Schizosaccharomyces pombe: one gene and its partners. The protein of the gene in region 1 interacts with the protein of each later gene in a pairwise test. Each region holds a gene or a part of one and is shown in the gene's direction. Other genes may lie near its edges. The genes, in order: nse1, pgk1, SPOM_SPCC1827.05C and cbc1.

Region 1 (8,369 bases):
GAGCTATGCTTTATTATTCGTTTGTAATGCTTTCGTTGATATATATGAGTCGTATACGACTTATTATGATTTACTTTCAAAAAACCTGAATCTGCGTAGTTGTAAAAGAAAAAGGTTGGATTATTACATATAATTAGAGATTTGTGTAAAAATGCATAGCATTTTATTGTACTATGGTTAAAACATATTATTCGTTACCAACTTTGAAATTGAATTGTAGTATACTTTTAGTTGGTGGTGGAATAAAACTACAGAGGAAAGAGCGACATAAATTTCCATTTAATTAAAATCATTCAACTCTAAAGAGAGGGAAATCAAGTTTGGATACAAGACATGTCATGCCATCATGAAGGATTAGACTGAAAGACGGCCAGTCGTAAAAAAAATAATATATTTTTTCGCAAAACGTAGTCAATTAAAAGCAAGCTCGCGAATTAGGCTAGCCCTTACTTGGACCTAGCTTTGGTAATGCAATATCCCAGGGACCGTGAATTTCACTAAGATATATATGTGAGAATTTAGAAAGAAATAATAAAATAAAATAATTACATACTTTTTAAATCTTTGAAGCTTAATAAACCAAATGGGACATATAAACGAAATGAAAAATATTAATGAAAGAAAGACAAACGCAATAACAACAGATGCAACAGCATTCAAAGCAATATATGCACTTATGATCAATACGAGGGTCATAAGCATGTCAGCGTAAAAAGAGAAAACCTGTAATTGGTTAAATAAAAGAAAAGGCCAATAAATTGCTTCTTACATGAATGTATTTGCGAAAAATGGGGAATAGTGCAAACCAATGAACGGCAAAAAGAATAAAAAAAAATACATTAATTGACTTTTCCAGTCGTGAAGCTAGAACAACAGATGCACTCAGCGCCGCATTTGTTGATAAAGAATTGTGTAGCCTAAAAAGAAAAATAATTAGAAATGGAATTAATTACGATGAAGTTTCCAAAGACGTACCTGACATGAGGTCTGATAGTTTCCGTCGTATATTCATGAAAAAATACGTTCGCAAGGAAAAGCCAAACAGCAATAGCCCAAACTGAGTCAGGAGAGGTAGATTTTGTTAATGACATTAGAATTGGCGATAGACCAGCAAGCGTAAGAACAATTAATATACAAGATTTAACGATCCCCATGTAATTAGGAAAAGTTCTATTGTTACAAGGCTTTCTCAACACAAAATCCCACAAAATGAATGCCGCGACCGCAGAAACATTTGACACGAAACCAACAAGCGCACAAGATAACTGGTTCCTATAGATCGAAACGAAAACCGAGGCAAATATAACTACGCTTGATAGATGCTGGGAGACAGGTAAACTATCGGCCACTAAAGACCAAAAGTCAGTGACTTGAATGTTAACATTTCGTTGTAAGCCATTCAAAAAAGATTCATCAATGAAGTTATCTGGGTAATCTTGTTTCCTCCATAAAACCTTTTTCCAAGGTTTCTTTAGTTCAACAACTTCTTTTACAGAGGCTTTCCTGAACGTGTTCAAGACGAGTGATTTCGCGACCATCTTTTTGGGCGCTGGAGCAGCACATACTTCATCCATTCAGTTTTAAAGTAATTTATAAATCAACTAAATAACTACATTCGTCCTAAACTCTCATACAAATTAAGCTGAATTTGCTTCCAATACCGTATTTTCAACAGTTCTTAGAGTAGTTGGATTTGGTTAACATCGACTGACTATAATATAAGTTGACTAGTACTGTATGTTTGGGTCCGCAAACAAATAAACCACACTTTCCTAATTTAATTCATATATATCTACTTTAAAAAGTACATTCAGCATCGTTAAGAGTTTTTATTCCCAAGAAAATGATTTAACTGCATGACTCTGAATATAGGGTTGTTCATGAAATCTGCAATCGCGCATACTCGCAATTGGACTTTAATCTATCAATTGACAATTCAAGTGATAAAATTTACGACTGAACTCTTATAAACCCGAATTCAAGCATTCTAGTAAGCTAATAAGTCAACATTAATTATAAACAATTATTCTAAATTCAACGAAAAGTAAACTTTCACGAACAGGGTTTACATTTTACGAAAAATATGTGTATTCTTTCTAACTTTCCCTTATTCAAAAACTGCAAAAGGTTATCTCTTAGTTTCCTATTCTTGATGTACGTTTAACTCGTAGTGTTATAAAATACTTGAAAGCTAAATGTGCGTGGTACAATAAGATGATCAGTAGAAAAATATGCTGTTTTTTTTTTTTTAAAATAAATATAATAAATGTTCTTGTTCCATTGCTTGCATCTGTATGTTTTCTAACCATGTTTATGTGCGTAAACAATAGAAAGAAAAGGATAAAGAAAGAAATTTCACAAAAATATATAGCATAAATTTTTTTTAAAAAAAAGAAAGGAATATCTGCTGCTTTTCACAAATTGTTCTAGCTGCGCGTATTTAATGGTAATCAAATTTTGTTTCACACTGAATACTGATTTCATCTACTACCAACATATACCATTACACTGTATGTTTCATGATTGTCAATATATGAACGGACTATTTTAAGACAAAAAATCGAAACGACCATAAAAATTTGATAAAAAATTGAAAGGAAGCTAGGCGTTTTGTGCGTGTTTGTTTAAATTTGCATTGGTCAATTAACGCGTCAATTAGTAATCAAAATAGTAGAAATACAAAAAAAGGAATAAACGGTATGGAGAAAGAGAGACAAGATGGATTATCTGACAAGCATAAATTCATTCTTCAATATATAATGTGTCGCACAGCTGGTGTTGATAATGAACAAGTTCGTGAACTTGTTCAAGAGCAGTATGGAGAAACGGCAACTGTAGAAGATGTAATAAATGAATTGAACAATTCTTTGCACAATTTCGATTTTAAGATAAAACGAGTACAGGATCAACTGGATGGAAGATTAACGCTGCACTTTCAGAATTTATCTGGAGACCCAGTATCCCAAATGGCTACTCCTTACCCTCCTGTTCAGATAGAACTTATGAGAAAGATAATCGAATGGATCATGAAGTGTGATGATTACCAATATTCATTAACGACTCTGCAAATCCAAAAATTATCGAGAAAAGAAATGGGATTGGCACCTAGTGTTATTGAGTCTCACTTACATACGTTTGAACGTGATGGATGGCTAAGACAGAGAGAGGGTATTTGGACATTTACGAATCATGCGTTAGCTGAATTGGATGCTTATTTACACAACGAATACGAGAGCAATTTATACGAATGCAACGCTTGTCGCGAAATTGTAATTGCTGTAAGATACATATCACAAATGCAAACTTACTAACTGAATACCTTATAGGGATATGTATGTGATTGTGGCTACTGCTTGCATGTTTACTGTTGCAAGCATTTAGCTCATGTTAATTGTATAAATTGTAACACGCCATGGGCAAATGCGACCGTTATAGGACGCTGGTAATTTTTTCACTACCTACTGGTGTTCGCTTTACTTGTTTATACATTTGGGCTACTTGGGAAAGGATATAGAAAACTTATAAAATTAACAGTTTTTAATGTTGGAAAAAAGGGTTCGTAATTAAACTATGTGGAGAACACTCGCATTTTAAACTGAAATCGTTAAAATTCAGGTGAAGGGTTAGACTCATAAAACACGAACTCAAAATCTTCTTTACAAAAAAATAAAAGAGAAATGACATCGATCATCAAACGCATAATCACTGTCATTTTCTTTAAAAATGTCCGCATTTACATCACATTTAAATCTGAGTGCAATCGTCCTTAAAATTAGAGCTGTTAAAAAAGCCATCTTGTACCAGTTTATCGTAATTTGCTGCAAGAACAATAACAAAAGATGTTTTTGCGTCCAACAGCTTTTTTTTTAGTATGCTTAATAGGCAGTGGCTGACGAAGAAAAAATTACCCATTAATTAATTTATTCCTTGATGATAGCCAACAACTCGTGATCACGGTACAACGAATACTCCTCTTCGCCCACCTTGATGTTGCTTCCACCATAAGCAGGCAGCAAGACACGATCACCAACGGCTACGCTGGGTTGAGCCAGTTTACCTTCCTTGTTATAACCGCCCTTTCCGACGGAAATAACACGACCTTCGGATAACTTTTCAACGCTCTTCTCAGGTAGAAAGATACCAGAAGCGGTTTTGGTGTCGGCCTTGATACGTTGAACCAGAATACGATCCAAAAGAGGCACGATTGACTTGGCGGATTTCAGTTTGGTAGCCATGTGAAAGAATGCAAAATGATTTTAAAAAAAAGCCTAACAAATACAAAAACTGTGGTTAATGCCAATATATTTCCGTCAAAACTTGTTCGTTTTGGGCAAGTGCTCAGTAGCTTCAGTTGAAGCTGTGATCCTCCTTATTAATCTTTTGCAGATCATCTGGAAAGTTCTACCAAAAGTTTATTTTGCGTTAATACTCAAGGTTCCGGTAAAACACAATGCGAGATTCGGCTCCAATATGCTATATTTTAATAATGTTAACTACGCAGTTTGGTATCTGTTTTAACGACACGCAGAACTGCGGTGAGTTTTCCTTGTGATTTAATATATAGTGTAGTATAGCTGACATTGCCCTCCCCAAGATTTTCTATGTAAATCTGAGGATAAGTCATATGTTCTCAAATATTTAGATTATTGTTTTTAATATAATCATTGACAATTGCTTTGTCCGCTTGTAGCGCTGTAGCTAATGTAGTCCATCCTGACATAATAGTACTCGGATTTAGATTCGAAATGTACTTAACGTTTAAATAGAGTACTTGTTCTCTATTTTTATGTTCTAGGATATGGAGAATTGTTCCTATGTCGGATTCATCAATGGTAGCGTAATTGAGTTCTGAATTATGTCGATACTTTTCTAGGTGAGAAACATGAAAAGTAGATGGAAACATGTGCTTGATTGAATCTGGAAGATCCAATTCATAGTTGTTTGGGCCCGACTTCTGTTACACATAGAACGGTCCTGCAAAACTGACACGTATCATACATGTGATGCAAATCACAGTAAGTGTAGTTATGTCGTGAATTACTAACATTTACTTTACAATTAAAAGATAGAGTATATAAAAATGGTATTGCTGTCAAATAATTTAGTTGGAAAGCCTTCATTCAAGTTGGATATTTGTCGATAACGATGGTTTCCGTACCACCGTAAGAAATTTCTGGTTTTCTACGCACTGAACGCAGTTAAGGTAATTTTTGCTCAAAAAAGTAAACTGATGCAAAAATGGTTGAGATTTTGTGGAGGTTAAGCGACAATTTGATTATCGCATACTTAAAAAGGTGAAGGTCGAAAATTGAAGAATTCGAAATAAAGCTATCAGTTATTGACATACTCTAATTCCCCCGTATTGATGATACTGGTTCAAGGAGAAAAGTCTAGCTGAAATATGCTAATCTAAAACTCATGTGATTTGGCTTCATAAAGCATCATCATTAAGATAACTAAGTCATAGTTTGCTACGCCATAACACATCAACGAGCATGTCTCAATGAAAGGGTGTACAGTCAAGGTGATTGTGATAAAATACCAGAAGCAATCAAAGTGCGTCTTTGGTGTTTTGAATGAGAGAAGTTAGTTTTCAAAGAACTGAAATTACATTTATTTATTTAATTTTTGAAAAAGTGGAATTTTCTGTTTTTGAGAGTTACGACGGAAAGCATAGAAAGAGTACTCTTTTTTTTATATTTGTTTATATCAACAAAATCTGATTGAATTTTCATATTGAAATGTGTTATCATTTCTTTGAATGTGCTTTTCACAACCAGAGTCAGCCGGTCAATCTTGCAACTTTGTATTAACTATACTGATAAAAATTAGTTTACCATGATTAAATTTCGATTCTTCATTCTAAACATACACGCTGCTTCATCTTTATCGTCGCATGCTGTGTTTGCGCATTTGTTATTGATAAAACCCTGTCTGCAATCATGACTCAAGGTCCCTTTAGTCTACTATTTGTAAAGAAACCCCCGGAATCACTCATTTGCATTTTACAACATTTTTTGGTTTCCGTTTTTAGTTAGATACGGACAACCTGTTCGCTTCTTACAGCACAGTTCATTGGACTTCTTCTAATTGCAAATTCATACCATCTTCAACCGAAAAGTAGAAAGACTTTTCTAGTTTCCTCCGATTATTTACCCTTACTCGCCGATAATTCTACATTTTCTTTATCATTTTGCTGGATAGCATCTCAAATACCGAAGCTCCGTTTACTCCTTTGAAGTAACTTGTTTGCTTAATCTGACCACGTTGTACAGTAGATAAAATGCGACAAGGGTTGTGGAGTATCTAGCGATCGGGTAAAATATATAGGCGGGCAAAGGTTCTGGATAACTAAGTTCATTGAAAAGTTGGCCGTTATCCATAATACGTTTGGTACTTGATTATCATTTGAATGGCAAAGATGCGTCAAGCTTATAGATACTGAGTATGAGAAAAGCACTATTTAAAGAGATAGGTTCCTAACCCGTAGGAAGTATATCTGAAATTGTGCTTTGTTAATTCAACAATTTTTGATATTGGTTTGACTTTTGTCAGTATTCCTTGGCCTCTTTGACTAAAATCCATTGCTTGCAACGTTGCATGTGCTATTGGTTTATATATACTTCATCATCCATACATTCAACTGAGCATTTTAATTTACTTTCATTCAATCCAACAGTTTCCTATTCACAATGACGATCGATTGGAGACAAATTGCTGCCAAATACTGTGCCCATCGAGATGGTAGTATTCCTGAACCTTTCAAAATTAAAACACTACCTAAGGATACCGTTTTGAATGTTACCAAAATTCCAAGTGAGTGTGGTCTCCTTACACCGAAGGAGATCGAACTCACTGAAAAATATGATGCGACAGCATTGGCCGAAATGATTAAGGATAGAAAAGTCACGAGTGTGGAGTTAGTCACTGCATTTTGTAAGCGTGCAGCCATTGCTCAACAACTTGTCAATTGTGTGAATGAACTCTTCTACGAGGAAGCTTTAGCTAGGGCCGCTGAGCTTGACGAGTACTATGCAAAGACGGGATCTTTGGTCGGCCCCCTTCATGGAGTGCCAGTTTCGGTGAAAGAGCATATTTCTATCAAAAATCACACTGCTACAGCTAGTTTTCTAGCGAAAGCCAACATTATTGCTGAGAAAGATAGTGATCTAGTTGCCACCGTTCGCAAAGCTGGTGCTGTTTTCTATTGCAGAACCCCCCAGCCTCAAGCTATCATGCATTTGGAAACATCTAGTAACCTTACGGGTGTAACCGTCAACCCTTTCAATCGAAAGCTCACACCAGGTGGTTCCTCTGGCGGAGAAGGTGCTTTGTTAGGCATTAAGGCGTCGGTGCTTGGCATAGGTAGTGATATTGGAGGGTCGATTAGGTCTCCTGCCGCTAACAATGGGCTTTTTGGCCTTCGCCCTAGTACCTTGAGATTATCACGCAAGGGTTGCCAAGGCGCTGTTAGTGGTCAAGAGACCATTCTCGGCGTAGTGGGTCCACTTGGTCGCAGCGTTCGTGACATGAATCTCTTTATGAAAGCTTGTATCGATAGCCAACCTTGGCTTGATGATGCATCGTTGTTACCAATGCCCTGGCGTTCAGTTGCCCCTCCTAAAACGCTCAAAGTTGGTATAATGCGTAGTGACAATGTTGTGAATCCTCAACCGCCTGTTGCTCGAGCCATGCAAATGGCTATTGATCAACTTTCTAAAAATCCCGATTTTGATTTAGTAGATGTAGAACCTTTGGATCACAAATATTCATGGGATCTTATTAGCGAAATGTACTGGCTTGATGGCGGAAAGGTTTATTACGATTTGTTTAACAAGGTGGGAGAACCAATTTTGCCTTTAACTGAATGGATTATGCATCAACCCAATGTTAAACCTCATGACATTACGGCCGTATGGAAATTGACTGCTGCTAGAGATGAATATCGCAATCGTTATTTGAAGCACCTTCAAGCATATGGAGTTGACGTTTTACTGACTCCAGTGGGACCTAGCCCTGCTCCTAAATTAGGGGAGGCAAAATATTGGACATACACATCTGTTTGGAACTTGCTTGATTTGCCTGCCGTAGTATTTCCTGTGACCACTGTTGATCCTAAGCTCGATGTTAAAGATGAGTCATACATACCGATGAATGAACAAGACGCAGCAAATTATGAAACATATTCCCCTGAAGACTATTTGGATGCTCCCGTAAGTTTGCAACTTGTTGGCAAACGTTGGCAAGATGAAGAATTACTGGCTGCCCTTGATAAAATTGTCAGCATGCTCTAGTAGGGTTATTGGCTTTTATATTTTTTGGAGTTTAATGATAATGGATATGTTCGTTTTATTTTTTTTTTATATACA
Region 2 (8,026 bases), on another chromosome or scaffold:
TAAAGACTACTCCAAGGTCGATCGTTCTGCCGCCTATGCTGCTCGTTGGATTGCCAAATCTTTGGTTGCTGCTGGTTTGGCTCGCCGCTGCCTTGTCCAACTCTCCTATGCTATTGGTGTTGCTGAGCCCCTTTCTATTTTTGTCAATACTTACGGCACTTCTTCCAAGACATCTGCTGAGCTTGTTGAAATTATCCGCAAGAACTTTGACCTTCGTCCTGGTGTTTTGGTCAAAAGCCTTAAGCTTCAAACTCCTTTCTATCTTTCCACCGCTTCTTACGGTCACTTCACTGATCAATCCAAGCCTTGGGAACAACCTAAGGAGCTTAAGTTTTAGACAGATAGCTTAGTGCTATCATTAGCTTTTCTCGTTTGTTACGTTAAATACGATTAGAACATGTAACGAATTCTCAGTTGATGGCTTTATGGATACATGGTTTTCTTTAAAGATGAAAAGATTTTAGAGTTGTCTTTATTTATTCTATGTTTGCTTCTTTGTTCTTCAATTGTGAAAGATATATGGTTTTATATGTTAAGTCCTGGTTCAACGGATATGTATTTTTTTTTGGACTGGGTAGGCACAAATTCAACCTTTGTGTTTATGACTGCATCTCGAAGCGGAAAATACACTAAGCCAAAAATTTTTTTGCATACCGACATGTTAATGTTTCTTTTACCGATAGGCTTAGTGTTATTTGATGCTTTTCACGATAGTTATTATTTGCTGACTTTCAACTAGTTGGCCACTTTCGTTTAAATTGAGTTAATTATATGTTAATGGATTTGGTTCAAGACATAGTGTTTTAATCGTATAAGAACGAGTACTCATCTTCACTGTAGCTAATTTAGCTCGCTCACTTGTAACAAGGTGCATGCACACACAATACAAGCGTTTTGATTTTATTGTAATTTGTAATGAATTGAAAATGTCAAACTTAAAAAGGTAGACAATCATTCAGCTTTCAAGATGATCTGTGATAGTAAATGTCATTGGATTAAAACACATTGCTTGCTTACATTATTGTATTTATGGAATAAGCGATGGATTCTCAGCGATCCTAAAAGTACTTAGAATTATATTGGTCTTTTTTTTTGTAGTATAAATATTCAAAAATTCTTCACTAGATGTCTACGGCCATACCTAGGCGAAAACACCAGTTCCCGTCCGATCACTGCAGTTAAGCGTCTGAGGGCCTCGTTAGTACTATGGTTGGAGACAACATGGGAATCCGGGGTTTTGTAGGTTCCTTCTTTATTATTGCTGTTTGGTTTTTACCTTCTCTTTTGGAGCATATTTTGAGTACTGAATTGTGAATCTCAAATTCTATAGATGTTGCTACTCGTTGATTAAGCAATGCTAGAGCAGACTTTGAACTCTCAAATCAAATAATTAAGAAGTTTATGAAAGAAGGCTCTTGTCTTTGTCATGGGTATCGTCAAGCAAAATTCGATGTCTACATCAGATATTGTATAGGAAAATTATCAGATGAATTAGGAAGCATTGTCAACATGCAGAAAGAAATACGGTGTACCATAATACAACATTTGGAATATTTACTTCAATCTGCTAAACTACTTTAGAAGTCAACCACATAATATGGTATTGTCAGCAATACTGCACTACGATATGACATACTACGTTGCGTATCACTATATGTCACATGTTCAACATCAGATCATAGATATCCGTTGATAACAACTATTAGAAAGATTATAAATAGAGCTACAACTGAACCTCGTTCCTCAATTCAGTTATGAGCTATATCGGTGACCGATACTAACAGACTTCTTATAACAATAAATATACATTGTTAGTTAACATACCGCATACCGCTACATTGTAGATCGCAAGTAAAAACTCACCGCAGTTCTATATATCGTTAAAACAGATATCAAACTGCGTAGCTAACCAGTATATATTATAACAATACATGAACCTACGGTAAGTTTTCCTTGTGATCTATATATTGCAATATGTAAATAACACAGTAGCAACTGAATAAAAGGTATTCTAATATTTGAAATGTATGCTTTATCTTTACTGAAAAAGCCTTAGCTAAAGTGGAGAACGAGATTCAGTTCATCTCAGTTTACACTATGAATTGCTAGTATTGTAACAGCTAGTTATCTTATCATATTATATAATAAAATCTCTAGCATGAAAACTTATCACGTTAAGTTGGTAGAGTAAATAAAACATGGGACATATAGTGATACGCACGAAATGAATACACAGAGTATGTTGTATTGTTGATGTCGAAAAGTGTGTCTTCATGCTGTGAAAAGAAGCTGTTATCAAAAAAAAACGTTTGTCCAAAACGTAAATCCAGTAAAATGTTTTTGCTACATTAAAAGACACTTTAGGAATGAAGCATGATAGTAAATTAGAATTTCATCTGAAACTAGCAGATATTGATCCTACACTTTCCAATACTGCACTTAACAATTTACGAGCAAAATCTCTCAGTATTTGCTATTCAGCTATTGCTTGATGTCTGTTGCAAATGTTGAATTGACTTTTAAAAATTTTTTGAATCTACTTGACGAGCAAAAATCGCTAATTTAATTAACGTTACAAAAATTAATTTAAGCTGCTATTGAATGTACTCCAGCTAGCTGCATCCTTCTCTGCAACACTTCTCGTCGTATCGATAACAGTGCCGATGCAAACCTTAGCTTTGCAACCTTCACATTCGTTATAGAGGCAAACAAAACAGCACTAGGTGGAAAAGGAGCAGCGAACTCCCAACCAACCCACGTTCGCATTATCACTCCTTACTTATGTTTTACGAATTTAGTCGCGCAATTTGTTAAAGATACGTTTACAAGCTTTAAACTTCTCGCTTATGGCGACTCTATTTTTCAAAGGCTCAATGACGAAAATATTCGGCAAACGTCGTGGATGCATGTCGTTGTCCAATCCCGTTTTCCTTTCCGACCCTCTGTTACGAAGCGATAGTAGATAGCAGGTTTTTCCGAAAAATTACATTTACCGTATGCTATCGCAGGCGCACTATGGTCAGAATGTAGGTAGCATACGCCTCACTACCTTTTTAACTAGGTTTTTCCGATTCCCCAAATGATGGATACATTTTTCCGATTCGTCAATAAACGATTACAAAGGTAACGCTAAATGCAACTTGTTTCAAAATGTATATAAAGTTACGTCACAGTGAAATGCTCCTGACAGCCGCTTCTGGCGGAAACGCTACTTGATCGGCGTCTCATGTCACCTGACGACTCTTCCGATTTCGTCGTCGTCCGTCAACACACCATGGTCGGTATGTTTCTCTAGAAACATACATATGATCCACGGCATTCCATCGACTTTCTAAATGCCTCACCCTCCCCGATTAATTGGGGTATAAATATGAGGCCAAGGTGCTAGCGCTAAAGCCTTCTGTAAAGACAAATCCGTCTCAATCCAGAATCAATCAATCACATAACCATGTCTTTGTCTACTAAGCTCGCTATCACCGACGTCGACTTGAAGGGCAAGAACGTCTTGATCCGTGTCGACTTCAACGTCCCTTTGGACGGTGACCGTATCACCAACAATGCCCGTATCGTTGGTGCTCTCCCCACCATCAAGTACGCTCTTGAGCAACAACCCAAGGCTGTCATCTTGATGTCTCACTTGGGCCGTCCCAACGGTGCTCGTGTTGCCAAGTACTCCTTGAAGCCTGTTGCTGCTGAGCTCAGCAAGCTTTTGGGCAAGCCCGTCAAGTTCCTTGACGACTGTGTTGGCCCTGAGGTCGAAAAGGCCTGCAAGGAAGCCAAGGGTGGTGAGGTCATCCTTTTGGAGAACTTGCGTTTCCACATCGAGGAGGAGGGTTCCGCCAAGGTTGACGGTAAGAAGGTTAAGGCTGACGCTTCTGCCGTCGAGGCTTTCCGTAAGTCTTTGACTTCTCTCGGTGACATCTTTGTCAACGATGCTTTCGGTACCGCTCACCGTGCTCACTCCTCTATGGTCGGTGTCGATCTCCCCCGTGTCTCCGGTTTCCTTATGAAGAAGGAGCTCGACTACTTCTCCAAGGCTTTGGAGAACCCCGCTCGTCCCTTCCTTGCCATCTTGGGTGGTGCCAAGGTTGCTGACAAGATCCAACTTATTGACAACCTTCTTGACAAGGTCAACCGCCTTATCATCTGCGGTGGTATGGCTTTCACCTTCTTGAAGGTCCTTAACGGTATGAAGATTGGTGACTCTCTTTTCGATGAGGCTGGTTCCAAGAACGTCGAATCCATGATGGCCAAGGCCAAGAAGAACAACGTCGAGGTCTTCCTCCCCGTTGACTTCGTCACTGCCGACAAGTTCGACAAGGACGCCAAGGTTGGCTCTGCCACCGCCGAGGAGGGTATCCCCGACGGATGGATGGGTTTGGACTGTGGACCCAAGTCCTCTGCTAAGTTTGCCGAGGTTATCACCACCTCCAAGACCATTGTCTGGAATGGTCCCGCTGGTGTCTTTGAGTTTGACAACTTTGCCAAGGGTACCAAGTCTATGCTTGATGCTTGTGTCAAGACCTGTGAAGCTGGTAACGTTGTTATTGTTGGTGGTGGTGACACTGCTACTGTTGCCAAGAAGTACGGTAAGGAGGATGCTCTTTCCCACGTCTCTACCGGTGGTGGTGCTTCTCTTGAACTCTTGGAGGGTAAGGCTCTTCCCGGTGTCGTTGCTCTTTCTTCCAAGTAAGATGCCACTTCCTTCTCAATGCCTTTCTCATCTGACTCTATTCTATAATGGATTTAATTACTGTTAGAGTTCTCTAACATTCGTGAATTTGTTGGCGTTGTCTTTAAGAAAATGGGTTAGGTTGACTGAACAGCGTGTCTGTTTTTTTGACCTGCTCACTAGAAAGACATTTTTAGACGATTCGGCTTGTTTTTCTCAAGTTACAGGTCAGCTTGTTTTGATTGATTTGGTGATGAAATGCATGTTTTTGAATGGATTGGATATTATTCTCATTCCTTTCCTATTTTTACAATACAAATGTTTATGTTATAATAAAGAAATAGAATATCTCGTATTTTTCATGATTAAAAACTTTTCTTGTTGTTTTGAAGCGTCCTACTAGTATTTGGTGTAGTTAATGAATGTTTGTATGAGCGCTATAATTGTGTGGATAGTAGTCAGTTTCTATAAATCTACGTTATTGTGTTTCAGTGTTTGTTTTTTATATGCGTTATTAAGTGAATTACTGTATTTTGTTGAGGTTTTTAATCCATCGTTTTACGCTGTTACGCGTTGCTCTATCCATCGGTTAAAGCTGCTTTAAATTATAATTTGTCGAAACAGGTTTTACTTTTAATGCGGTTAATAATGTCAGCTACACAGTTGTTATTGCTTTTTAGCGACACCTTCCACTGCCGTGGATTTTTTGCTTGCGATCTACAATGAGTAGCACAGTGACATATACTAAATATATATCACTAGATTCAAGCTTGAACCTGTAAACTATAGAAACACAACGAAACTACGAATTTTTGGTAGCAAGTCCATATCGTTTATGTTATGCATCTCCAATCGATAAACTAATGTAAGTAAAATCAGTTTTTTCATGGGATGTTTTCGGCACAGTTCATCTAAGCGAATCTTAAAGAACGATTAAATATAGTGAATTTTAGTGTAGCATATGATAGTGCAATGTATAGAATTTTAAAAAATCTTTTGCGTTGTGCCTTAGTTTTTTGATACAGCAACCATTCCTCCTAACGAGACAACAAAAATTTCTTCTAAAACAAACCAGATTTGCTGTTCTTTGAAGAGGCAGCATCAATAATTACTCATCTTCTTGGTTTTTTTTTTGGAGTAATTACTGATTTGTTGTTTTTACAATAATTTAAGTTTGTAAAAGCTAGAAAAGGAAACGTACAAATTTGATATATATTTGTAATAGAGAAAAGGGAAAGGAAAAAAAAAAATCGAAAAAGCATTTTTAAATAGCCTTCGTTGTACCGTGACTAACTTATTCTCTTAATCCTGAAAAGCTTTTGATTGTTATTTCAACTGAACAAATTTCCAGAGAAGTAATATTTCAATATATTATTTTTTTTTAACTTATTTTTACACTTGCTGGTTAATTCATTTATCTGCAAGTTCTTATTTCTTTACTATTATTCAGCTTTTCTTTGTTAATAGGGAAAGCTGCTTTTGGGGGAACTCACTTTACCCGTTTTCAAAATCGGAATATTTTTGTTTGATTGATTTCTTTCTGTCATAAATATTTCTTCCAAAAAATACAACAAAAATTTAAACTTCAAATATATATAATGGACGCTCAATTCACACTTGAACTTACTCAGCTGCTTTTTCAAAGCATCGCTCCTGATACCACTCAAATTACTGAGGCCACTCGCGCCTTGGAAACAAAGTATTTGAAGGAACCTGGCTCACTACTTTCTCTTTTCCATATTATGGGAACTTGTGAAAATCCCCAAGTTCGTCAGTTAGCTGCCATCGAGGCACGTAAGCTTTGTCATAAATATTGGTCATCCGTTGACGCGGATGTCCAAAATCAGATCCGTAGTAATTTGTTAGATATTACCTTGAAGGAACCTGAAAGTATCGTCCGTCATGCTTTTGGTCGTGTGATTGCTGCCTTGGCTAAGCTTGATTTACCTGAAGGAAAATGGAATGAATTATCGGCTTTCCTGGTCCAAGCCACTATGGATCAAAACGATTCTATTCGTGAAATGGCTGTTTATGTTCTCTACTCAATTGCTGAAACGGTAGATTTAGATAATAAGCTCCTTTTGGATTTTGTCAACTTATTCTCCCAAACAATTACTGACTCTAGTCGAACAGTTCGTGTTACTTCTGTTCAAGGTCTTGGTGCAATTGCAGAGGTTTTGGAGTCTGATGATAAAAAGCTTTTGCACGCTTATCGTGCTACCTTGCCTGGCATGCTTTTGGTTCTTCAAGATGTCGTTCAGGTCGGTGATGTGGATGCCAGCAAGCAAGTTTTTGATGTTTTTAACACTTTTCTTATTGCTTCTGGTGCCATTATTTCCAAAGCACTTGGTAATATTATTGAAATTATTACTGGCATTGCAAATTCCAAGCAGGTCGATGATGAAATTCGCTGTATGGCCCTTTCTTTTATAATTTCGTGCATACGTTTCAAGTCACGTAAGCTGCAAGCTCTTAAACTTGGTAAGCCTCTAGTCCTTACGCTTATGGAAGTTGCTACGGAAGAAACTACTGATGACATAGATGAAGATTGTCCTGCTCGTCTTGCCTTACGTTCCATTGATCTTCTATCTACACATTTGTCGCCTTCACAGGTTTTTTACCCTATGTTTGAAGCTGCTTGTGCATTCTCGCAATCTCCACAGGCTAGCTATCGTAAAGCTGCTTTGCTATCAATTGGCGTTGCCGTTGAAGGCTCATCAGAATCTGTTGCTGGAAATCTTCCTAACATATTTCCTATCATTATAAATGGTTTATGCGATAATGATATGGATGTTCGTCAGGCAGCTCTGCTTGCATTGAGTCAAATTGCTGTTGAAATTCCTACTGAAGTTTCTAAACACCATGCTCAGCTTTTGCCATTGGTATTCGAACTGATGTCAACTCAAGGTGTAAAGGTAGGCAAATCAGCTTGCAATTGCATTGACGCCCTTTTAGAAGGTCTGGATAAGTCTGAGATTTCTGGTTATTTACCGATGCTTATGGAAAGACTTGTCGGCTTGTTGGAGTTCAGCGACACTCCTGACATTAAGAGCTGTGTTGCCGCTGCTATTGGCTCTGCAGCATTTGCTGCTCAAGATGACTTTATACCTTATTTCGAACGTACAATGGCTAGTCTCTCGCAATGTTTACATACCACTGATGATGATGAAGGATACGAACTTCGTGGTACAGTTATGGATACCCTCGGTGCCATTGCAAACGCAGTTGGTAAACAAGCGTTTTTGCCTTACACTGAACAACTTATTCAACTAGCTTATGAGGGTATCCAAATTGATCATTCACGACTTCGTGAGTGTTCTTTCTGCTTCTATGCTGTCCTTGCTCGTGTTTATA
Region 3 (7,192 bases), 1.2 Mb from region 1:
GTTGGCTATAGAGGCTGCTTGCTATTATAATGCTACTGAGCAATCCTCCTACCTTCTTCAGATATGGGGAGGTTTTTTTTTAGTAATTTTTGCGTTCGTACTGTTTGATTTAGACTGTTACGTGTGGGAGAAGACACGGGTTAACTACATGCTTATTTTCGAATTTAATCAAAGAAAATCTTTAAACTGGCGTCAGCATTTGGAGATCGTAGGAGCAGTCTTCTTTATTTTTTCGCTGTTCTTTTTCCTGTGTATGAGAAATTTCTTTCCTGGCTTCACAATATATTTTCCGGCCCTGTTTTTGGGAGTAGTGGGCACGTTTTTAATAGCCCCCGTCATTGTTCCCTATTGGAGAATGCGAAGATACTTGATAATTCAGCTTATCCGTGTGTTTTTATCTGGGCTTTCTACTGTCCATTTTCAGGATTTCTTTTTTGCTGATCAAATGGTTAGTCTAACTTATGCATGCGGTAATATATCTTTGTTCTTTTGCCTTTATAAGCGACTTTGGCGACAACCACAGCTTTGTAACTCATCACATTCTCCCTTGCTAGGTTTCTTTACCACATTGCCTGGCATCTTACGTGTTTTTCAATGTTTCCGAAGATATTCAGATTCGTTGAAAAGCTTTCCACATCTTGTGAATGCTCTAAAATATATTTTTAATATCCTCGCCCAAATGTTTTTAAGTCTGTGGAGGATTCATCCCGGCTTGAAATATCGGGTTTTGTATACTATTTTTGCTGGCGTAAATTCACTTTTTTCTTATACGTGGGATATTTTGATGGATTGGAACCTTTTGGTTCGAAAGGATGGTCGTTGGCAATTCCGTGAGCATCGAATTCTAAAACAGTTGTGGCCGTATATTATAGCTATGATCTTAAATTTTATCGTTAGAAGCTCTTTTATATTCTATTGCATATTTCCCAACCACATTCAGCACTCTTCAGGGATTAGTTTTTTTGTGACCCTTGCTGAGATCATGCGGCGTTGTATGTGGAACATCCTTCGTGTGGAGCACGAAGAAATCTATAATAGGGTAAGTTCGCTGGTTTGTGTTTACTTTTATTTATTTTTATTTGATTCAAATCGTCGCATACTAATTTCATTATAGGAAAATTTGCGGGCCGCTAGAGAACTTAAGCCTTTGGATTTTGTTAAGCCACATAGTGATGTCTTCGTTTCTCATCAAATATCTTCTGATAAGAATTATACAGATGATGAAGATTCGATGGATGATCAAACAGATGTGGATGAAGCTCAGTTTTCTTAGATAGAACGTGAAAGTACAAGTTATTTTTTTCTTTAGTTGTATTTTTTTTATTATTCTTATCGGTATTGGGTGTTTGCTCCGATGATATTAATGCTGTTTTATTGTGTTTTTATGCATTAAAAGTATTCCTCATTTGGAGTATGGTATCGCTGTTTTCTTCTGACAAATGCGAAGATATTTCTCAGAAGTTTCTACGAACCTCATTTTAATTTTATTATGACATATGGATATGAGAAGGGGGACTTTAGTGTTTACGAACAAATGTGATGAATGAAGCTTAATGATTTAATGAGTAAAATTATAATAATGATATTTATCTTTCACAAAATGAATGAATCCTTTTAAGTGTGCTGTAAATTTTAAGCGATGATCAAAGAAGTCAGTTAATTTACTCAGTCAGGAACAGAATGTGCGGTGAAATAGATTGATTCAATGCGTGTCTGGAGACAGAGAATCGGATTGATCATTAATGTCTTGATGTATCAACCAATGACCGGAATACTTAAAGTCCTTTAACTAATCTCAAATACATCTCATAGCTACTCGTAAAAAAATTGTTGCAATAATAATAGCCAAGTATACTTACGAGCTAATTTTTCATTATCAAAACAGAAAAGACCGGTCATATAAAAGTATTATCCATTGTTTATTAAATTGTCTTTCATCATTCTCAGTACTAAATCTAAATTGCAAAAGAATCAATGAGACTACATCCATCCTTTCTATATTTGCTTGACACTACTAAATTTACTTCCAAGTTATAATGGACGTAAAATGACTACATCTGATCAAGTCCCAGATTAACTGTTCCTTTACATTACTCTTATAGATTAGATAAAAGAAAGCTTATTTTAGAACTTGTATTTTACAACTAATTGTTTACTTCATCTGCCTTACTTTGGTACAAAACGGATGCTGCTTGTTTTGGCAATTTGTTTAAAGAATTCACTATTTTACGGTACGCGGAAATACTTTAGACTTCACTATCTCGATTAGAAAAGATCTGATGCGATACGATATAAGATATTTTTTTTTAAATTGCTTGTCAATGAAGGAATTTACCAAGAACACGTAACCTTCGTTTTCTTGATTAAAAACAATGGCTATAAAAAAAGTTGGAATCCTCGGTGCAACAGGTATGTTTAAATTTAGAATGGTAATGTTCTGTCAAAACTGCAAACGATTGCTCTATGTACATTAAAAAATGCATAAAGTTAAAGGATTGACTGTTACAAAATAATTTGTGTTTACTTTTTAGGTTCCTTGTTTAATTGGTCTACATTTTAATTGTACACTTTTTGAATTAAATTGCCTGGAAAGACTCACATTTTATCATTTTAATTCCATGTCTTTAGTACTATAAGTTTTTGATGAACATTAAATTTTCAGTTCCGTGTCACTGACTAGTGTTTTTGGATACACATGACTAACCATAAATAGGCACCGTTGGACAGCGTTTCATTACCCTCCTTTCCGATCATCCTGAGTTTAAGATCGCTGTTCTTGGCGCTTCTGCTCGTTCTGCGGGAAAACCATATGCAGTTGCTACTAAATGGAAACAATCTATTGCAATGCCTAAAGAGATTTCCCAAATGAGTGTAAAGGCTTGTGATCCCAAGGAGTTTTCGGAATGCGATATTGTGTTTAGCGGCTTAGATGCTGACTTTGCTGGCGAAATTGAAAAAAGTTTTCGTGATGCTAATTTAGTCATCGTTTCGAATGCTAAAAACTATCGTCGTGAGCCTACCGTGCCACTTGTTGTCCCCACCGTCAACACAGATCATTTGGACGTTATCAAGTACCAGCGTCAAGAAAACAAACTGGATCGTGGATGCATTATCACTAACTCTAACTGTTCTACTGCTGCTGTTGTAGTACCTTTGAAAGCTCTACAAGATGCTTTTGGTCCTATCGCTCAAACAAATGTAGTTAGTATGCAAGCTATTTCTGGTGCTGGATACCCTGGTGTTTCCAGTCTTGACATTTTGGATAACATCGTTCCATTTATTGGCGGTGAAGAAGAAAAAATTGAATGGGAGACACGTAAAATCTTGGGCTCTGTCAATAGCACAATTTCTGGATATGAGTTGACTGATAACGTTGTTTCTGCTCAGTGCAATCGTGTTCCTGTTATTGATGGCCATTTGATGTGTATTTCTGTGAAGTTTGCCAAGACCTCTCCTACTCCTGATCAAGTTCGCGAAGTATTGGCAAACTATGTTTCTGAACCTCAAAAGTTAGGCTGCTACAGTGCCCCTAAACAAGCCATTTATGTTTTCGATGATTCTACTCCTGACCGCCCTCAACCTAGACTCGATCGTAACAATGAAAATGGTTATGCAGTATCAGTTGGTCGTATCAGATCTGATTCCATCTTTGATATTAAATTTGTCTCCCTCGTCCATAACACAGTTTTGGGTGCTGCTGGTGCTGGTATTTTGAATGCTGAAGTTGCGGTGAAGAAGGGACTTATGTAAACAACGAATTTCCTGTTCTTGTTATAACTCTTCTCTCTCAAAATTTGCCACGGATTTTTCGATACCTTAAAAGTTGGAATTAGGTTTTGAATAAAGAAAAACTTTGTTAATATATTTCATTTTTGCTGTTATTTTACCTTGCCAGTGATATAATTAGAGGACTGCCTCTATTAATCAAGTTTCTTGTGCTTGCGAACCAAAACGGAAGCCTTCAAAAGATTTGTATTCCTTGTAATTGAATAATACTATCGATAATTCTAATATTTGAAGTAAGTCATTTTCTACTTTTTCCCATTTTAAATGAATAACGAATTTTAACACCAATTTGTAAAAATTTAGCGTAGATTAAAAAATTTTTTGAATATTTAACGCAAATTCAAATTCTACCATGTCTAGCTTAAGGAAATGTATAACAACTTGTAATTTAGGCATCTGGCCGTTTTTGACACTGGAAAAATTCAGTTCAATACCTATACTTTTATAAAACATTATGTCGAAGGCAAAGAGCCCTATAAAGTCTTCGAAAAGTAAGTGATAGGAATAATATCACTATTGTATGGTTTTTAACTCAATTGATTTTAGAATCGGTGAATCAACCGAAATCGGTTCTTCGTGAGAAGAAAGTCAAAGATGCTGAAAAAGCCGAGCATATATCATTACAAGGTCATGTAGATAACTCTGATGAAGAAGGACAAGATAAAGAGTTTTTTCCTGGTTTCGGTTCTTCAGATGATGATGAAGAAGACTCTCCAAATGCGCTAGTTAATACCTCAAGGCAAATTATGGATTTGGGCGAAGATGCTGAGAAAACCATAAAGAAAAAGGTTTCTGAAAATAAGAATCTTCAAAAGAAAAAAGGTGTTTTGTATGTTGGCCGACTTCCTCATGGATTTTATGAGAAACAGATGCGTATGTATTTTTCTCAATTTGGTCCTGTGCTACGTCTTCGCATGTCTCGCAATAGAAAGGTATGGTAACATTTATTATCTACAGCGGACTATTTTAGTTCTTCTTTTTATTTTCGACTGCTAACTTTTTGCATTAGACAGGAAGTAGTAAGCATTATGCTTTCATCGAGTTTGAATCGTTAGACGTTGCCAATGTCGTTGCTGAGACAATGCATAATTATCTTTTATATGGAAAGCTTTTACAATGTAAGGTTATTCCTGAAGACCAGGTTCATGAAAACATGTTTAAAGGCGCCGACGTTCCTTTTAAACGCATCCCTCATGCCACAATAGCGCGTCTTCAGCATGAAAAACCATTAAGCAAGGAGAAAGCGGATAAGTTAATTACTCGCCATAATCGGAAGCTTAAACTCAAAAAGCGCAAGCTCAAAGAATTGGGGATTACTTTGGAATCGGATGTATCTCATCCCAAGGCGGCTAGTCCAGTTGCTTCGAAAAAATCTAGCAAAAAGAAGAACAAAAAGGTTTTGGCTGCTCACAAATAAATAAATACGGGGTTTTAGAGTAATAACAATAATATTTGGAATATCTTATTATTATGCATAATAGAATTGTGAATAACGTATACTAAGATTAATATTTTTACAATATTCCTTTTGTTGTCTTTTTCTAGTAAAGTATTTTTTAATTTAAAATAACTATGCTTCTCATTTTGTTTGCATTCTTTTCATGGCAGCTGCAGCCCTTTTTTCACGTTCAATTCGCATTCTCATTTCTGGACTTAATGATTGCAATTCGTCAACTTTTCGAACATTATTAATTCCTAATGAATGACCTTCGCCGTGCAGTTTATCATAATCCCTTTTCGATTGTTCTTCAATTTTCTGCATCGCTTCCTTCCGTCTAAGTTCTTCTTGCCTCTCTTTATCCCTTCTTTGATTTTCTAATTTGGTCTTTGCCTTTTGGCGTTGTTTCTGAATTTGTTCTCTAGACTGAGGAGCCCCAACTTTAGCTGCTTCCCAGTCGAAAAATGACTCTCCCAACTCATGCCTTGCAATTAGAAACTCATCTTTAACCTCTTTGTTTCCAGTACTAATCTCAAAAGGTGTCTTTCCGTTCCCATTTAGCATTGCTGGATCAGCACCATTACGGAGAAGTTTAGCGACTAATTTAGCATTTTTTTGGGTAACTGCGTAATGCAACGGTGTAGATGTGTGCAAATGAACATTTTTAGGATAAAATTGAAAATTTATAGACAAATCATTAGAGCGCAAATATTCCAAAAATGCTTCAATATTAGACGCTTTCAAATTGGAGATAATTACTTCGGTATATTTAGCAAGCTTTTTCTTTTTCCTCTCTTCCTCTTGTAATCTGCTTTGTCTAATTTCCTTTTCAATTTCGGCTTGTCTCTTTCGTTCTTCTTCTTGAGCTTTTATCGAAATTGAATCAACGTGACTAATTTTCGGAGTAACCAACTCTTTGTAACAACGAAGTAATTCTGAATGTGTGGCTCGTTTAGTAGTAAATGGAAATACGCGGAGTTTTGGATCTTTTGGAGAAATAAGAGCACCTGGTTGAGAGAAGAAAATTGAACGATTAGATGAACCGATTGCACGTACAAAGATTAAATCGCATGTTTCTAATAATTTTCCCCAGTCTTTAAAAACTTGCTGAATATCTTTAATAAGAGCTTGTTCGTTATAACGTCGCAAACCACTACCTGCCGAGTGAATGTTCCCTTTAGTATTGTCAGCAGCCCCTTGAGAACCACCTTGCTTCCTTCTAGTTGTATATCTGTGAATAGTTTTCTGTGCTAGTACTTTGGGTACATGGGGATCACGAGGATTAAACTCATTAGAAGCAATCATAGCAGCAAAATGACCGCCTCCAACCATAAACATAGCTAGTTGAAGTGGCTTTTGTCGGTTATGATTTTGTTGTTGAACAAGTAAATCTTTAGTGATATGGTTATTACCGGAAAACATGTGTTTATATACACCAATATAGGTTGGCACTTCGGCAGAAGCATTACTCAATTGAAACCACGTTAATGGTGAGTTTGTTCGCTGATTGTTGTTTTCGTCAGCGGAGTCAACTTTTCCTATGTTCAAGGATTGTTTAAAAGCCTTCTCTATTTGGAAATTATCTTCTTCGGATTCTGAGTTTGTCTCGCTTTCACTGCCAGACAGTGATTCTGGTAAATCTTCAATTATGCTTTCAAATTCGTCTTGAGAAACCGGAGGCAATTTTGTAATTTTTCGCTTCGTATTGAACCTATGCCAGTCAGATTTAATATGACTTTTTCTTTCGTCCAGAGTATGCAGATTGTCAATCTGGCAATTGACACATGATGATATATTTTTCTGAGTGGAATCAACAATATCGCCTTGGTTTGACAAATTAGCACTATCAGTTTTTTCCTCAACTGAGTATTCCTCTCGTAGTTCTAGTTTTGCTAAGATATCCTCAGGAAGGGAAAAAATATTGTGCTTCGAAATATCACCCATGTTTCGAAGAAGACAAGTAATTAG
Region 4 (8,963 bases), on another chromosome or scaffold:
GTTACAGTAATGAGTGCTTTTAAAGGATTGTGCGGTATGCGAAGCAATAACCTCCGGATGTATTCCATTTTTTGAAGCATTTTGCCTACGCGTTTCTAATAGTACAGGTGTTAAACTCGCAACCAACTCACGCAACATCTTGACCCTTAACCGAGAAAATCCTATACTTCCAAGCATATTTGCCATAGCCCCGTATATGCGACAACGTTCACGAATTGAAAGAGAGTTAAGATGCTGTCCTTGGGCTCTCATAATCCATTGACAAATAGTTGCTTTATTTGGTACATACGTTGTAGCTTTTTTAACAGGTCTTATGGGGGCTTGAGCAATAATATGATCCAAAGCGTTGTCGTTAAATCCTTTACAACTATAAACAACTGTGAGTAAATGAGCATACCGTAGGATACTCTCGGAAAAACAGAGGCCGGGGACAGCATCATTAGGTTGAAGAGTGGATTTTTGATATAATTGATCAACTACGTTGCGCATTTCTGTGATAAAGTTTAATAGTGCATCAAATTTGAGTGGTCCAAAGGCATTCAATCTATCATTATAAGAAGGGAACATGGATAATATATTAGGAGGAATCTGGACGTCCACATGCAAATGAGCCATTATAACCAGACAAACAGTAAATAACTCCAACGAAAGTCCTTGCCAAAGAAAGTCTCCAGTTGCTTTAGAAAGCGCTATGGCTGTTGAGAAATGCTTCAACGCATTGGGAACTCTGCCGGCCAGCAAGTATAGCTGGCCAAATTGGTTCTCAATACGCCCCTTTGAGAGACTTTTGGATCGTTCCGTTACACTATTCACAGATCTTGATGTGATCGAGGGAGTTCTCGTCAAAGTAGGACGAGAAGATGAGCCTAAGGAGTGAATCGACGCATTAGAATTTTTCCTTTGCAAGGGAGCCAAATGTGGCATGTCAGTAATTGGAGAAAGGATCACGGAACGCGCGTGTATAGAAAACTCGAGCGAACTAAATCCTTCTAACAACTCAGCAGTGATATCGCATAAAATAGACCGCATTACGGAGTTTATTGAAAAATCAGACCTTGGTCCTATTATGATATTGGGAGCATTAAATATATTCTCTTTGTCTTCTGGACAATTAAATACGATGCATTTTGCAACTAACGCATGAGGTATCCTTCTCCGCCAAACATCCAAGGTAGAACATAATTGCTCAACTTCTTGTTCCTCTGACCCATCTACAATACCAATAAGAACGAAAACGCGCCGAAAATATTCAAATTCTTCTAGTAGAGCTTGTTGATCATCAAGGCTGGTTAGGAAATTGTACACCAATCTGCCCAACGGAAAAGCCAAAGGATTGAAAGAACTCGCTATTAAGATTAGTCAATAATCATAAAAATAAGAAACATACATTTTCTAGTAGCAGTAGCTACAGGGACATCACTCAACTGAATATGACTTACTCTGCGGAGTAATTGTAGGTAGGACGAGAAACTTTTTCTTCTAACACGACCAAAAGGAAGGACTAATGATTGAACTCTGGAAGGAGCAACAAACGAAAAAAAATCAAATTCCATAGCATCTCCAGCAATGTAATGTTTTGGAGCACGTACTGAGAACAAAGTGCTTGAATACCATTTAACGGATTACATCCATACCATCACTAATTTATTTTGCATATTTCTGTTGATTGTCGATCATAAGTCGGTAAAATAAACTTTTCAAGATGATATCGCTTAACAATTATCATTGTTGTGAAATGTCTAATATTTGTTATGCTTTGGAAATACCATTCTGCATATACAGCTGTACAGCTGTTTTCAGTAGATTATTTGGAATCAAAATATAATTACAACTCAATGAACTGGTTGCAGTAATTTTAATTAAGGCATGTGTAAATAATATGTAAACTATCTGAAGAATGTGAATCTGGCATTTCAAAAATTTAAAAATCCGTTTGTTTATGCGAACTTGACTTTATAGATTAGGAGGAGTATTTTGTAATTTTTTTCCTTTTTTACAATCGTTTGGTATTCATGAAAGAATCGTATATCTCGCCATAGCAATTTATGAAAGGCATTCTGAATGGCAAAAACTGTTGAATATTGAACCGTTTTGTTATTATTATTATTGCTATTTATTTTATTCTCAAAATGGTAAAAAAATAAGAGAGATTGAAGGAAATACTGGTGAGGATAACGTAATGTTTAGAAGCGTTACAGCAAGATGATTGTGTTTCAAGTCAACTTTCCAACTTCAAATATGAGCGCTACAAGTAGAGAAGGAAATAAGACAAAGATAGGAATAGTAGGAGGTAATTTTGGAGAACAACAGTTTCATAAATGATGAGTGAGCATGCTGACGATGATTTTTAGGTGGCATTATTGGAATTTGTACGGCGTTTTACTTAACAGAAGAACAAGAATACAAAAAAGGAGAATTGGACATATTTATATTTGAATCAAAAGAAATAGCAGGAGGTAGCTCCGGCATTGATTCTGCAATCTTGACAAAACTGTGCCAGAATGAAATCATACAGCCACTTTCAACTCTCGCTTTGAAGCTTTATGAAGGATTGGATAAAAAATTTGATGGGAAGAAAAACTGGGAATATAGGACTGCCAATTCTTGGTTTTGTAAGATGAAATGGGACAATACCAATGTTGCCAAAGTTCCCGATACTTTGCAATGGCTTCAACGAGAGCGCATGCAAAAATGTAAGCTCATAAGTGCTACCAAAAAAAAATAATAACTTTATTGTATAAGTCATATAGAGACTAACCATTTAGGTTCTAGTATCGGTTCCGGCAACGATTTTGCAATGATCAATCCAAAATTGTTTTGTCAATTTATGGCAAAAGAAATAGAAAAACGAGGAGTAAAGTTTATATTTGGAAGTGTGAAAGAGGTTAGTAAACACCATATTACATACGTTCCAAAACAAGAAGCTGAAGATACAATAATAAAAGCACAGGTGCATAAAACGCTGGTGAGTGCTGGGCCTTGGACTGGTTATCTATTACCATTTACTGGTATTGCAGGTCTATGCATTCCCATAATTCACCTATCGGTAGGAAATTTTCCCGTTGGCGACAGCATTGTTGTGTGTTGTTTAAATACCATGGGTAATCTAAACATTTGCAAAACAACCGAAATTTTCAGTAAAAACCGGGAGCAGCTTATTTTTATGGGAACTCCAAAATTCCATTTGCTGCCAAAAGATAGTAATCGATGTTTTTTTAATCCTTTTGAAATTATCGAATTGAAAGAAATGACCGATTTGGTGCTCTCGGAGAATACGAAGAGTAACTACTTAGACGCATCTTTTAAGTTCCTTCCTACCAGTAGAATAACAGGTATCCCGATAATATCAACAACCAAGTCTGGTGTATTTGTTGCAGCGGGTCACGCCAACTGGGGGATAACTCAAGCTCCTGCCACGGGTTTATGTATGGCAGAAATGCTCCTTGGCAAGGAAAAAACAAGCATAAACACAGATCCTTTTCACTTAAATCTCGGTGAATGAGGATTTCAAATTATATCCTCTAATTTTTGTTTTAATTGTTTGTCAAAAAAAACGAAGGACTCATTCACTGAAAGGTGAAAATATAGAAGCAGAATGGATGCTTATTCCTTTACCGAAATAGAATATTACAGTGTTGTAAAATTTTCTAATCATATTTATTAAGGTTTTCGTTTTTATCGCATTGGAAAATCGATTTTCTTTTTTTTTGTTTTACAATTTCCATCTCGACTTAGTATACCATTCGTTACCTCTAAGTTGATTGTTACTTGAGAACACTTGCTCGTGTTTTTACAATTCTGCTATACGCCAACAACAGTAAGACACTAACATTCCTCACAAAATGTCTTCTTATCGGGGATCAACTCGACCCAGAAAGAGGACGAGAGAGGGAGAGAATTATGGATTTCGTCCCCATAGAGGAAACTCTCAAGAGCTACTTGCAGCGCGTATAAAAAAGGATATTACCTTTTTGGCGGATCCTCGAGGAAATTCAGTAGCTGCTGATGACATTAATTATGTTGCTATGTCTCTTAGTCGTGAAGCTAATGATCCTGAAACCATTTCAACTATCTTAGATTGCATTCAGACAACGTAAGTGATAATTTATACTGTCCCTTCAGAAAACTAATTTAATCCTTAGTGCATTTATCATTCCAGTCAAAATACCTCATTTGGCTACATTAATTATAAGAGCCTCATTAAGGGTTCCTTTAATCTTAGAAAAAGCAGCTGCGTATTTTTGTTTACAGTATTTTACGAATTTAAACTCCTTTCTTTATTACGAGGCTAAAGTCGATCTACGAATGCTCATTTGCATGTCATTTGCACTTCAACCAGGTACCCTTAAGCCACTATTTTCATTACTGGCTGACGCTATCTCAAAAGAAACCAAACCCAGTGTCTGGGGAGATAATTTCCTGCGCATAATTTTGATAAACCTTCCATATTTCATCGCAGCTAACAACGATCTCGGTAAAAAGGATTTTGCTAATGAGATACTGGATCAATGTGAGATTTACGTTCGTCATAGGAAATCTTCGATAACTCTAAGTAATCCCCTTTCAATACATGACAATCTTTCAGAGGAGGAATTGGACTTACTCTATAAACAACTAATTCTATCTCGGGAAAACGACTTTACTTTTCCTTATATATCTCAACCCTGGAAGTTTTTTGAATCTGATTTCGTTCATATTGTTCCGGTTAGCCCAAGTATTCCTGAATGGACGTTTCAGCCCACTCCTCAGCAAAATGAGCTACCTTCCTTCAAGAGATTTTTTGAGCTTTTTAATAACTTTGAAATTCGCACGACTCCTGACGCTTCCGACGTTGCAGCCAGCATATTTCGTGATATAAGTGTGGATGTTATAAACCATTTGGAATTTAACCGAGTTGAGGCTGCTCAAGTTCTTACAGATTTAGATGTTTATTTTACCTACAAAACTTTTGCTCTTCGTGGTACTCCAGTAAATGAATTACCAAATTTAGATCCATCGGAATCACGTTGGAAAGCAGAAGATATCATAGTTGAAGCTGTTTTGGGTGAGCTTCTTGGTTCACAGAATACTACGTATAAACCTGTCTATTATCATTCGCTTTTGATTGAATGCTGCCGTATCGCTCCTAAAATTTTGGCTCCAACTTTTGGAAGGGTCATTCGGCTAATGTATACCATGTCTTCTGATTTACCTTTACAAACACTTGATCGATTTATTGACTGGTTTTCACATCACCTTAGTAATTTCAACTTTCACTGGAAGTGGAATGAGTGGATTCCTGACGTTGAGCTGGACGATCTTCATCCAAAAAAAGTTTTTATGCGGGAAACTATTACTAGGGAACTTATTTTAAGCTATTACACAAGAATTTCTGACTCACTCCCTGAAGAGTTACGTTGTTTGCTTGGCGAACAACCGTCGGGTCCCAATTTCGTGTACGAAAATGAGACTCATCCGCTATATCAACAGTCAAGTCAAATTATCGAAGCATTGAGATTACATAAACCGTTAGAAGAACTTGACATTATTTTGCAGAGCGAGGAGATTCAAAACTCCGAGACATCTGCTGTCCGATTAGTTATGTCTTGTGCTTATAGCTTGGGTTCGAGATCGTTTTCGCACGCATTGAACGTGTTCGAGAAACATCTTAATACATTGAAACATTTTTCTCGAAAATCATTAGATTCCGAAATAGAGGTTGTTGATGAACTTTTTTCATTTTGGAAATTACAACCGTTCAACGCAGTTATGTGGCTAGATAAAATGCTGAACTACTCTATAATTAGTATTACCTCTATTATTGAGTGGTTGATCAAGCAAGACGTGACTATATGGTCTCGTAGTTATACGTGGTCACTTGTTAACACCACTTTTAATAAATTAGCAGCTAGATTGCGGCGTTCGGTTTCTAACAAAGAAGACTCTTCGCTAATCAATGAAGCGAATGAGGAAAAGGAAATTGTCACGAATTTACTATTGTCAGCTTTGCGCGCCCTTATTTCCGAAAATGCTGAAAATATATGGGTATCTCATTGGCTTAACCTTATGTTAAAATATGTGGAATCAAATTTCCTCTCTGTTAAAAAGGACACGATAGAAGAAGCAAACGAGCCTGTTCAAGAAAATACCAGTGAGGAACAGGAAGACACAAAAATGCAACCCGTCGACGCAGTAGATGAGCAGCCATCAGAAAATAATCAAACAGCAGCTGATGCAACTAATGAGGAAAAATAAAGAAAGTAGTCTATAACAAAAATGAAGAAAGTGTTGTTTTGATATCAAAAAGATTAAACTGAAGAACTCGACTGGTAATCACGACGTTGTCAATCTGCTACAACGTTTGAACGTGGATATAGCTTATATTAAATATTTAATTATAACGTCCCATTTTCATAAGCACTTGTAGGACGCTGCTGCACTTCACAGTTAAGTTACTAGAAACGAAGATTTCAATTTTATAGGTAACAGGGTTATCAGATCTATCAGAGGTAACGGATATCTAAAGATAAGATATTTTACGATCGACTTGTCGGTTCTAGTTTTGCGTAGTGTCATACTATGTGAGCGAATGGATAAGCGAAATGTTCACTCACATCTCCGATATCAGAAGTGACTAAATCTTTTCTCAGTTTAACGAAAGGATTGCTAAAATGTAACAAAATCACTACTGCCATCAGTAACTTACACTTAACCAACCACTTTGTGCTATTGTAAGAAGTAGTGAGGAACAGAGGCAGTTTGGTGGATAGAACTAGGATTTAAGGGACATTTGCACAGCTACTCCTTCTCAACTTAGCTTCGTCGAATATTTCATTTACTTTAAAGGATAAAAAAACTGACACAATATGTTGGAAGTACGTGCTGCCGTAAAGGCACCTTTCAAGTTGGCTGCCGCAGGCCGTGGTTTCATGAATATGCGTATGGCTTCAAGCAAATCTTTTCAAAAGATCACTGTTAAAAACCCAGTCGTTGAAATGGATGGTGATGAGATGACGAGAGTGATTTGGAAGATCATTCGTGAAAAGTTGGTTCTCCCATATATGGACATTAAATTGGATTATTATGACCTTGGAATCGAAGCTCGCGATAAGACAAACGACCAAATTACTGTGGATGCAGCCAAAGCTATCCTCAAAAATGATGTCGGTATCAAATGTGCCACCATTACTCCTGATGAGGCTCGTGTGAAAGAGTATAACCTCAAGAAGATGTGGAAGTCTCCCAATGGTACCATTCGTAACATTTTGAATGGTACAGTATTTCGGGAGCCCATTTTAATCAAAAACATTCCCAAGTATATTCCTGGATGGACGAACCCTATTTGTATCGGGCGTCATGCCTTTGGAGATCAATACAAGTCAACGGACTTGGTAGCTTCAGGCCCCGGTAAGTTGGAACTTTCATTCACCCCTAAAGGTAATCCTTCTGCTAAAGAAACATACAATGTTTACGAGTTCAACGGTAGTGGTGTAGCTATGTCTATGTACAACACTGACGACTCTATTCGTGGATTTGCTCACAGTTCTTTCCAAATGGCTTTGCAAAAGAAAATGCCACTTTATCTTTCCACTAAGAATACAATTTTGAAAAAATATGATGGTAGATTTAAGGATACATTCCAAGAAGTATATGAATCTGATTACAAGCAAAAGTTTGAGGAACTAGGTTTATGGTATCAACATCGTCTAATTGATGACATGGTAGCCCAAGCTATTAAGTCCAATGGTGGTTTTGTTTGGGCATGCAAAAATTACGATGGTGATGTTATGTCGGATGTGGTTGCCCAAGCTTATGGATCCTTAGGCCTAATGACTTCTGTCCTCATTCATCCCAACGGTCGCACTTTTGAGAGTGAGGCTGCTCATGGTACTGTACAGCGTCACTACATGCAATACTTGAAAGGTAAGAAGACTTCAACCAACAGTATTGCCTCTATCTTTGCCTGGACTCGTGGTCTTGCCCATCGTGGTCGTTTAGATGGCAACGAACGTTTAGTTAAGTTTGCCAACGCCCTCGAGCATGCTTGTGTTCGATGCGTTGAGAAGGGTATTATGACAAAGGATCTTTACCTTCTCAGCAAGTCTCCCAATGGTTATGTTGATACATTCGAGTTTTTGGATGCCGTCAAGTCCGAGCTCGATTCGGAATTGGTCAACATTGCCTAATTTTAGTGTTAGACCTGTTGATTAGTGAGTCTTTGAAGTTTAAGTTCTGGATTATTCAATCATGTTTTTACTAGGATACTTTTTGTTAAAACAATTATTTTGAAGTGTGTGCATTTATATTATTTTACAATTAACAGTGGAGTGTAGGAAGTCATTTCTATTAATCATGAAATTTTGTAAATTTTTTATGCATATTCAGACCATGACACTATTATCTAATTTTTTTCAATTTTTTCCCCTTAAACGTAAAGGAAAAAGCTGAATGATTATTCATTTATTCATTGAAATCTTTCGGATTTCTTGCCGTTTATTGACTACAAATGTATCTTGATTCTTTAAAGCTTTGCTTCAAACCCACTTAAACATATTTATCTAGCAATTGATTGAGCCATAACAATTTAGGTAAAGGTCTAATATTAAAATTCAACAACTGAGCTAATAAACTAAACAATTGATGGACGTAAACCCCAACTACATTAAATGTATATCACTATGGAAATGCTTTCTATTATGTTCGAATACAATGAAGTTGTAACAAATATCATTTTAAAAACTGCTACTACTTAATTACTTGTAATTTCTGTTAAACTGATAAATAAAGTAAGCCTTTGTTCTTAGCTCCAAATGTTTTACGCAGCCAAATCTTACGCGCTGCAGTGTGGCTGTGAGCGTTTGGAAAAAACTTAACGTAGCATTCATAATGCTAGTTAAGACACTATAATGTGTTGGATGCCAGAGGAAGCATGCTAGCCATGCAATACACACTAACCAAAACAAAACACTGGCCATCATCAGTCT

Evidence for each region.
Region 2: the proteins of nse1 (region 1) and pgk1 interact in a two-hybrid assay, tested with the Schizosaccharomyces pombe proteins (one study listed by BioGRID).
Region 3: the proteins of nse1 (region 1) and SPOM_SPCC1827.05C interact in a two-hybrid assay, tested with the Schizosaccharomyces pombe proteins (one study listed by BioGRID).
Region 4: the proteins of nse1 (region 1) and cbc1 interact in a two-hybrid assay, tested with the Schizosaccharomyces pombe proteins (one study listed by BioGRID).

Annotation. Positions count from the first base shown.
Region 1 is NC_003421.2:1,191,498-1,199,866, forward strand, and holds nse1 (Smc5-6 complex ubiquitin-protein ligase E3 subunit Nse1), read left to right. Parts: upstream 1-2,489; 5' UTR 2,490-2,699; coding exon 2,700-3,278; intron 3,279-3,326; coding exon 3,327-3,446; 3' UTR 3,447-3,920; coding exon of another isoform or gene 3,921-4,235; 3' UTR 4,236-4,526; downstream 4,527-8,369. Other genes in the region: gpi2 (pig-C family GPI synthesis protein), read right to left, coding at 440-497, 554-723, 770-917, 976-1,574; protein Hsp10, read right to left, coding at 3,921-4,235; fah2 (fatty-acid amide hydrolase), read left to right, coding at 6,693-8,294.
Region 2 is NC_003423.3:4,154,839-4,162,864, reverse strand, and holds pgk1 (phosphoglycerate kinase Pgk1), read left to right. Parts: upstream 1-3,403; 5' UTR 3,404-3,448; coding exon 3,449-4,693; 3' UTR 4,694-5,044; downstream 5,045-8,026. Other genes in the region: sam1 (S-adenosylmethionine synthetase), read left to right, coding at 1-337; karyopherin/importin beta family nuclear import signal receptor Kap123, read left to right, coding at 6,271-8,026. UniProt on the Schizosaccharomyces pombe protein: Catalyzes one of the two ATP producing reactions in the glycolytic pathway via the reversible conversion of 1,3-diphosphoglycerate to 3-phosphoglycerate.
Region 3 is NC_003421.2:2,382,708-2,389,899, reverse strand, and holds SPOM_SPCC1827.05C (RNA-binding protein NIFK), read left to right. Parts: upstream 1-4,218; 5' UTR 4,219-4,240; coding exon 4,241-4,277; exon of another isoform or gene 4,278-4,332; coding exon 4,333-4,718; exon of another isoform or gene 4,719-4,795; coding exon 4,796-5,203; 3' UTR 5,204-5,261; downstream 5,262-7,192. Other genes in the region: spx2 (SPX/EXS domain-containing protein), read left to right, coding at 1-1,039, 1,115-1,273; hom2 (aspartate semialdehyde dehydrogenase), read left to right, coding at 2,373-2,409, 2,714-3,750; protein Vms1, read right to left, coding at 5,366-7,168.
Region 4 is NC_003424.3:3,224,691-3,233,653, forward strand, and holds cbc1 (nuclear cap-binding complex large subunit), read left to right. Parts: upstream 1-3,819; 5' UTR 3,820-3,842; coding exon 3,843-4,093; exon of another isoform or gene 4,094-4,142; coding exon 4,143-6,234; 3' UTR 6,235-6,708; downstream 6,709-8,963. Other genes in the region: TRAPP complex subunit Trs120, read right to left, coding at 1-1,346, 1,388-1,553; tda3 (FAD-dependent amino acid oxidase), read left to right, coding at 2,239-2,290, 2,352-2,693, 2,766-3,502; isocitrate dehydrogenase Idp1, read left to right, coding at 6,846-8,165. UniProt on the Schizosaccharomyces pombe protein: Component of the CBC complex, which binds cotranscriptionally to the 5'-cap of pre-mRNAs and is involved in maturation, export and degradation of nuclear mRNAs.